Oryctolagus cuniculus: one gene and its partner. The protein of the gene in region 2 purifies or fractionates together with the protein of the main gene of each other region. This does not show direct contact. Links are inferred from orthologs where the notes say so. Each region holds a gene or a part of one and is shown on either strand. Other genes may lie near its edges.

The links. The genes of interacting proteins can lie anywhere in the genome.
Region 1: the proteins of CARD11 (region 2) and MALT1 purify together in Homo sapiens (affinity purification with western blotting; 6 studies listed by BioGRID and IntAct, with this or other methods). This does not show direct contact. The link is inferred for Oryctolagus cuniculus from reciprocal best matches to the Homo sapiens genes CARD11 and MALT1.

What each region holds. Positions count from the first base shown.
Region 1 is NC_091441.1:19,750,925-19,755,175, reverse strand, and holds the start of MALT1 (mucosa-associated lymphoid tissue lymphoma translocation protein 1), read left to right. Parts: upstream 1-1,425; 5' UTR 1,426-1,581; coding exon 1,582-1,808; intron 1,809-4,251. UniProt on the Homo sapiens protein: Protease that enhances BCL10-induced activation: acts via formation of CBM complexes that channel adaptive and innate immune signaling downstream of CARD domain-containing proteins (CARD9, CARD11 and CARD14) to activate NF-kappa-B and MAP kinase p38 pathways which stimulate expression of genes encoding pro-inflammatory cytokines and chemokines.
Region 2 is NC_091450.1:37,591,603-37,595,161, reverse strand, and holds part of CARD11 (caspase recruitment domain-containing protein 11), read left to right. Parts: intron 1-307; coding exon 308-434; intron 435-2,744; coding exon 2,745-2,985; intron 2,986-3,438; coding exon 3,439-3,535; intron 3,536-3,559. UniProt on the Homo sapiens protein: Adapter protein that plays a key role in adaptive immune response by transducing the activation of NF-kappa-B downstream of T-cell receptor (TCR) and B-cell receptor (BCR) engagement.

The DNA.
Region 1 (4,251 bases), on a different chromosome or scaffold from region 2:
TAACTTGAGGTCCTAAACTTGAATCGAACGGGTTTTCTTGGATCCAGGTGTCACGCTCTTAGCAATTACACTGCATTCTGAACTCTGAACTGTTACTGCCTGCGCAGGAACGTGACGTGTGGAGCACCAACCTTGCTAATGGTAGTGACAATTTGAGTGTCCACATTATTGCTGTAGAAAATTCTGTGGCCTTGGGTAATGAAAACGCTAATGACAGGTGGGTGTTTAGCCTCGCCATGCCCCACAGTGCAGTACCTGGGTTAACTTTTCGGCTGCAGCTGCCAATTCCAGCTTTGTGGTAATGTATACCCTGTAAGGTAGCAGGTGATGGCTCAAGTTAGCCTATTACTAAAAAAAGAAAAAAAAAAAAGATGCCACCCGTGGATTGAGTTCCCAGCTCTGGCTTTAGCCAGGCCCTGCCCAGGCTCTTGTGGGCATTTGGGCATGCCATTTCTCTCTCTCTCCCCCCCCCTTTTGAGGAAAAAATGGAGGGTGGGGGTGCTAGTGGCACGAGACACTGGCCCAGAAACCCTTGCACCAGGGGCCACTTGTCTGGCCACGGTTCTTAAGTTACTTCCTTGTGTCAATGGGACGATGTCTTTGGATGCTGCGAAGACAGGGGAAAAGAACCCGGGGATGGACTTCGTCTACTCCGGAGGGTACCACGGAAGGGTCGGCTCTGATCACGAAGCCTGTGGATGGCAGCCTGACCCAGAAACACCATCTGCGAGGTCTTCAACGTGCCTCAGCTCAAGTGTTAAATACACACGGAGGGCAGTGGAGGATGGCCCAGGTGCTTGGCCCCTGCACCCGCATGGGAGACCAGGAGGAAGCACCTGGCTTCTGGCTTCGGATCAGCGCAGTGTGCCGGCCGTAGCGGCCATTTGGGGAGTGAACCAACAGAAGGAAGATCTTTCTCTCTGTTTCTCTCTCCCTCTCTCTGTAACTCTACCTGTCAAATAAATAAATAAAAAATATTAAAAAAAAATACACATGGAAGCCCCGGCTGGGATCTCGGGACTACGTCCCTTTCGCAACGCCACACGCAACTGAGCCAAGCAAGCGGCCCCAGAGGCTGCCCGGAGCAGGGCGGCGGCGCGGTCAGGGGCCGCGGAGGTCGAGCGCTCCCCGCGCTGCGTGAGGCAAGCCTCCTCCCACGGCCGCGGGAAGCCCCGACGCCGCAGGCTTCCTCGCCGAGCCAGAGCCACCGGCGCGCAGTTCCTCCGCCGCTTCCTCCTCCAGCTGCAGCCACCGGCCCCTTCCTGCTCAGCAGCGGTTTGAAGCTCGCGCGGCCGCGGCTCCGAGGCGGCGGGGGAGGCGCGCGGCCGCGCGCACGCGCACTGGGCGGGCTGCCCCCGAGGCCCCGCCCCTCGGTGCGGCTGGCGCGCCGGCGGCTGCCCCGGGTCTCCGGGCAAACTTGCCTCAGCCAGGCGGGGAGCGGAGCTTCCTCCCTGCCGGTCCTTCCGCCCCCTGCCTCCGCGGCTCCGAGGCGAGCGAGGGGGCGAGCGGAAGGTGCGCGGAAGCCCAGAGCCGCGACGTGGCCGGCGGGAGCTGCGGCAGTCGGGGTCGCCGGCGCGGGCCATGTCGCTGTGGGGGGAGCCGCTGCAGGCCCCGCCGCCCCCGGCCTCGCAGCCGCTTCTCGCCGCGCCCTCGGGGCCGCCGTTGGCTCCTCTGGCCGGCGCGACCCTCAACCGCCTGCGGGAGCCGCTGCTGCGGAGGCTCAGCGAGAGCCTGGACCGGGCGCCCGAGGGCCGGGGCTGGAGGAGGCTGGCCGAGGTGGCGGGCAGTCGGGGGCGCCTGCGGCTCAGGTGAGCCCGGGGCGAGCGCGGCGGGCGCGAGGCGGAGAGGAGGGGGCGTCAGGGAGCGCTCGGCCCCCGCAGAGCCCCGCGAACGTCGGGGGCTGGAGCGGGGACCCCTGGCTAGGGAAGGGAGAGGCAGCGGGGACCCCGCGGCTGCTGGCGATGGAGGAGAAGTGGGGGTCGGCCGCCGAGGCTGTGGCGAGGGGAGAGCTGGCCCCGGGCCGCTGAGGAGGGGCGGAGAGGGTTCCGGGCAGGACGGGGCTGCAGGAATCCGCGCAGGCTGGGAGGGCGAGAGAGAAGGAAGCAGGGCAAGACCAGCGCGCCGTCTTCCTGCACCGAACCGGGTTACGGAGGGCGCTGCTGGTCTCCGGCGAGAGCCTGTGGTCCCGATCCGGCCTGGAAGGCCCGCTCGGCCGTGCTGGAAGGTTTTGGTCTCAGGACCGCTTTGGAGGAGCCCAGAGAGCTTTTACGGGGGGTTATATGTGACATAGGTATGGTATACAGTGATATTTCAGCTGAAATTTAAACCGAGACGTCTTCCAAATGTTTAACTTTTTACCATTGAGGCAAATGATATTTCTGGGTAAAAAAAAAAAACGAACTTGTCTAAAACAAAATAATTAATTCAAAAATTTGCATTCGTTTACATTTTAAAAAGCCCTTTAAAGCTCTGACTTAATCCCAAGAACTGGCTGCTTTTAGGGGCTTCTGCATTTCGGTTCGTTGCTGTAATGCATGTAGGAAACACTGGAAGCTCCAGTATGCGGTCCTGAGACAATGAATGGAAGGGGTAGATAAGGTCTTACAATTACCCGGAAAAATCCTCGTGACCTGTGGACCCGCTCGAATTGTGATAGGCAGCCCCAGACCACTACTCTATACCGTTGCTAGGATTTCATTCTGCCTTTTTAACTCCTTAGTGGTTTTTTTGTACTTCTCAAATGACTAGACTTTGTCTTGTACCATAGTTATTTAGACACTTCTCTGAAAATTCCTTAAGAACAAGGAGACATCTCTTAATATCCTGTTTTATACGTTGAACCTTTCTTAGACAATAAATACTTGCTGAATCCTCAGTGGAGTCCTTCATTCAGGATTTTCTTTATGGAGTGCCTGTTATTCAGCTGTAAGTCCCAGAAGAGAAAAAAAAGTTAACAAATACTTAATTGCTAATCATAAAGATTGATCTAATAATGAACTGTTATTTGGGGATGTTCACAAATAACATACTCAGTGTTGAGCCGGATATGAATGGAGGTAATGTGTTTTATCGTTTACGGAGCACACAGTGTATACCAGACTGTGCTGAGTGTTTCCATGCGTTACCTACTTTAAGCCTCCACCAACGAGTTTCAGAGTTTGAGACTGAAGCAGAGAGTAATGATGTAGGGGATTGTTGCCCATATGGAAGAGTAATGATGTGAGGAAGGGATCAAGAAGTGAGCAGGCGCAAAGCCAGGCAGACAGGTGACATCATTTTTTCTGAAATAGGAAACATTGGACTTCAGCTATGCAAAGAAAATCCAAAATACTATTATCCTAGGTCCGTAGATTTCTGAATTTCTGTAATTACCGTAATGCAGAAAGTTATCTTCTTTGGAGGCAGATTTCCAGAGTCTTACGATGTTAACTAGCACGAGGGATGGCTCTAGGTTTCTGAAGAGAGCCTGGTATTTTGTATTTGGCCATGCAGGAGAGAGAAGAACGTTAGCAAGCCCTGCCAGGAAGTGTGGCTGGTGGAACCCGAAAATTGTGGATAACGTGATGTCGTGTGCTCTGCTTTCCTCCCCAAGCCTTCAGTCAGGCTTTGGGACAGGCTGCAGACGATGCTAGCCAGCATTCAGAAAGGACTGAGGCCGCTTTGCTGGGGTTCAAATTGGGGGGGGGGGGGTCAGTTGCCTAGCAAGAGGTGACCAGCACCCGAGGGCCTGCTGTTGTGGAACCTGAGAATTCAGGGTGAGACTTCCACAAGAGACAAGTGAGTCTTACCAGTGTTCCAGGATGGTGGAGGCTAGTTCCAAGGAAGTTAGTTGGGATGGAGAGGGTTGAAGAATTTAACAGTAAGCTCATACCTCTTGAGATCAGAAGATTTAAGAAGGTTAGCACTGGACAGTGACAACAGAGGGGCCAGGTGTCAGGTGGTGATTTCTGATTCTGTGTAAGGCAAAAAGTTATTTTAACGTGACATCATACTGATGGGAGGAGAGGGTCTGTGATGGCAGATCAAGGAGCTGTTTTTCTCTAGTGCCAAGCAGAAATTGCATTGCAGCTTAGTCCAGGTGGGTAACAAGTCCTAGGAGGACATGAAGTGCTTTCCTCAGAGTCGCTGGATTCTCAGCCTTAATATCTCAGAAGGTTGTGTTTCTGGTTGTTGTTTTGTTTTGTTTTTTTCCTGCCTCCTTACAAGGTGTACAAACTAGAAAATAATTTATTTAATAATAAAAGTTAAGTA
Region 2 (3,559 bases):
GGGGCACCCCCTGAGAGGGGCGTGGCCGGGAGGCAGGGGCACCCCCTGGGAGGGGCGTGGCCGGGAGGCAGGGGCACCCCCTGGGAGGGGCATGGCCAGGAGGCAGGGGCACCCCCTGGGAGGGGCGTGGCCAGGAGGCAGGGGCACCCCCCTGGGAGGGGTGTGGCCGGGAGGCAGGGGCACCCCCAGGAGGGATGCTCTCTTCCCTCCCAGCAGCCCTGGGCTGCCCCTCTGACCAGGAGGAGCGCTCACTTCCTGGCTCCCCTGGGTGCGGGGCCGAGGGGAACGATGTGTCTCTGGTACCCAGCTCGAAGGCTGCATCAGAGGCGAGAGGCAGAGCGTGCCCTTGGACTCTTGCACAAAGGAGGAGGCTCACTGGACCATCCAGAGGTGCAGCGGCCCCGTCACCCTGCACTACAAGGTCAACCAGGAAGGTGAGGCCCGAGCCCTGCAGCACTGGCTCCTCACAGGGGCAGCCCTGACCCTGGACAGGTGACCTCGCCCTCCAGGTCTCTACCTGCTCCCCACTCCCCCAGGGTGTCCTGGGCTGTCTGGTGGGCCAGGTGGACACCACGCCCCCAGCCACAAGGGCAGCGTTGGAGGCGGCAGCCCAGGCCACGCTCCCGAGTGGGCAGGGGCACAGCCTTCCCTCGCTGTGTGTGTGAAGTGTGCTCCCTCCCTCTGGCTCCCAGCCCAGTTCAGGGTGTTCCAGGCAGCGTGGCTGCTGAGTCGCATCGTGGCCCCAGCAGGTTTTCATATCAAAGCCCCTCTCTCAGTTGGAACTCCGGCGGGCAGCAGGCCCTGAGCTCTGTTTTCGCCGTCTCAGGTCCAAGTCCCCCTCCTCCCCTCTGGTTTTCCCGCGTGGGTCTCTCTGCAGCTGCGTCTGACTTTGCAACACAGCCCCGTGAATGTTTCAGCAGAGCGCACAGCCGCTGCCCTGCGCCGCCCGCGTGCGCCCCTCCTGCACTGCCCCGCTGTGGCACCCTGGCCCCTGCCCCCGGGCCTGGCCCTCCCACCCTGCAGAAAGTCTGAGCGAGGCTCTGTGCCCCGGGCAGCGGGGCCCGGCATTGTGCAGCACAGCGCTGCCTTCAGGAGTTCCCAGGAAAGTTCTCTCTAGCGGTGGGGATCTCGGGTGAGCCCAGCTAGGGGGCTGGAGGGGGGTGGGTGCACCCGGCAAAGGCTGGACTCCCGAAGCACCAGCGGGAAGCTGGGAGCGTCCCCCTGCAGGCCGACGTGACCCTGGGTGTGTGGGTGAGCGGCTCGGCCCCCTCTGAGCCCATCTGCCCCTGTGTGATGCGGATGCCGCCTGTGTGAGGGACCTGTGACTGTGCGGTCACGGCCAGCTTGCTGCGTCCCGAGTATTCCGAGCACCTGTCTGACTTCCTTCCAAAGCATTTGCAAAAATCTGCTCAAAAGGACTGTGGTGTTGAAGTCAGGGAACACAGCATGGGCTGCGGTCCCGGTGTCCCACGGAAACCGTCCGGCGGCATCTACGCAGACTGCAGAGAGACGCCGCCCCACGGGGCGCAGACGCCCGATCACCCGGACACCCGGGAAAGCAGACTCCACAGCTCACAGGCCCTTAGCATGATGCTCCTCACCTGCGCACCCGCCCCCCCCAGCCTTCTCTGGTACCTGCTACAGCATAGGTGCCGGGAGTAACAACAGGAGGGAGACTACGCATTAGTACAGGTGCAGGCTTGCACGTTTTCCTTACTAAGATTTATTTATTTAAGAGTTACACGGAGGAGAGGTAAAGAGAGAGAGGTCTTCCATCCACTATTTCACTCCCCATATGGCCACGACAGCCAGAGCTGGGCCAATCTGAAGCCAGGAGCCTCCTCCAGGTCTCCCACGTGGGTGCAGGGGCCCAAGGATTTGGGCCATCTTCTGCTTTCCCAGGTCATAGCAGAGAGCTGGATCAGAAGTGGAGCAGCCGGGATTCGAACTGGTGCCCATATCTGGCGTCCATACGGGATACTTTACCCACTACGCCACAGCACCGGCCCCTTTCCTGACATTTTTAATCCTGGGTTGAACCTGTGAGTGTGAAGCCACGGCAGAGCTGGCTGTGTGTGGTTAGCTGTGCCCTCGGTGAGCAGCGAGTGCCTGCCCACTCGGGAGCAGGCAAAGAGCGCTCGCTGCAAGCTGTTCATAGCTATGCACCCGGGGCACGCAGTAGCCCAGAGGAGGATTGGGGGTGCCCACCAGCACACTGTGGCGTCATGCACAGCCCTCCTGGACAGGCCTGTCTCTGGGGTGGCACACAGCCCCCTGTGGCTATGGCAGCCTGGGTACAGGCCACCCTGGGGGAGGAGGCATTGACAGCAAGCACCCCGCCATGGCGCCCCGCCAGTGTACATCGTGAAAGTTCGCTGAGCCGAAGGCTGGGGAATCTATGCCGTTCACCGTATTCCGAGTTTAGCCTCCATGTGGACAAACAAAGCACGTGGGCTGGCCGTGCAGAAGGCAGGGAGGTGGGGCAGGAATGCCTGCGAGGGGCGTCGTGGCAACTCAGCTTGGAGCTTCCTGGCAGCCAGGGTGAAAAGGAGAGCTTGTCAATGGCATAGCCAGCCGTTCACCGGGAAGAAACCTTTCCACTGGCCATGAGCTCAGCAGTGGACAGTGCGGGCAGCTGTCGAGGGGGTGGTGAGCACATGTGCTTGCTTGGAGGTGCCCTCACGGCCAGGGGCCCACGCCTGTAGGGGTCTGGCTGGCGTTTGGAATGGCTCTTCCCTGCGCAGGGTACCGACGGCTGCTCAAGGACATGGAGGAGGGTCTGATCACATCCGGCGACTCCTTCTACATCCGCCTGAACCTGAACATCTCGAGCCAGCTGGACGCCTGCTCCATGTCCCTCAAGTGTGACGACATCGTGCACGTGCGCGACACCATGTACCAGGACAGGCACGAGTGGCTGTGTGCGCGCGTCGACCCGTTCACCGACCACGACCTGGACATGGGCACCATCCCCAGCTACAGCCGGTGAGGCCAGGCTGCCCGCGTCAGCACAGGGGCCCGCGCCTCTGCTGGCTGACAGTGAGGCCCCCGGGACGCAGCTCCGTCCCTTCACTGAGCTCTTCAGCCTAGCGCAGCGTGGCCCTCCACCGCACACCCTTCCCTGCCTGCTGGTCGCCTGTTCTCTGTAGTCCGTGTCTGTCTGTCACACCCGCACACGCACACGCACACGCACACACAGAGGAAGCGGAGCCTGGGCAGGGGGTAGGCACCGGCACAGGTGTCCCGAGGGCGTCTGTACACCAAAGCCGTGACACAGGCGAGACCAGGGTGAACACGGGCAGGCTGGACTCCCAGATGAGGCCGGCAGCACTGGGGGCAGACACAGGCAGCTGAGGGCCCTCCCGGCACGCGCCCAGCCCCTGCTCGGCCCCGGGGCCCCGTCATAGCCCCTCAGGCGCCTCCCCTCTTGCCCCTCAGGGCCCAGCAGCTCCTCCTGGTGAAGCTGCAGCGCCTGATGCACCGCGGGGCCCGGGAGGAGGCAGACGGCGGCCACCACACCCTCAGGACGCTCCGGGTAGGTCGGCTGCACGGCTGCACG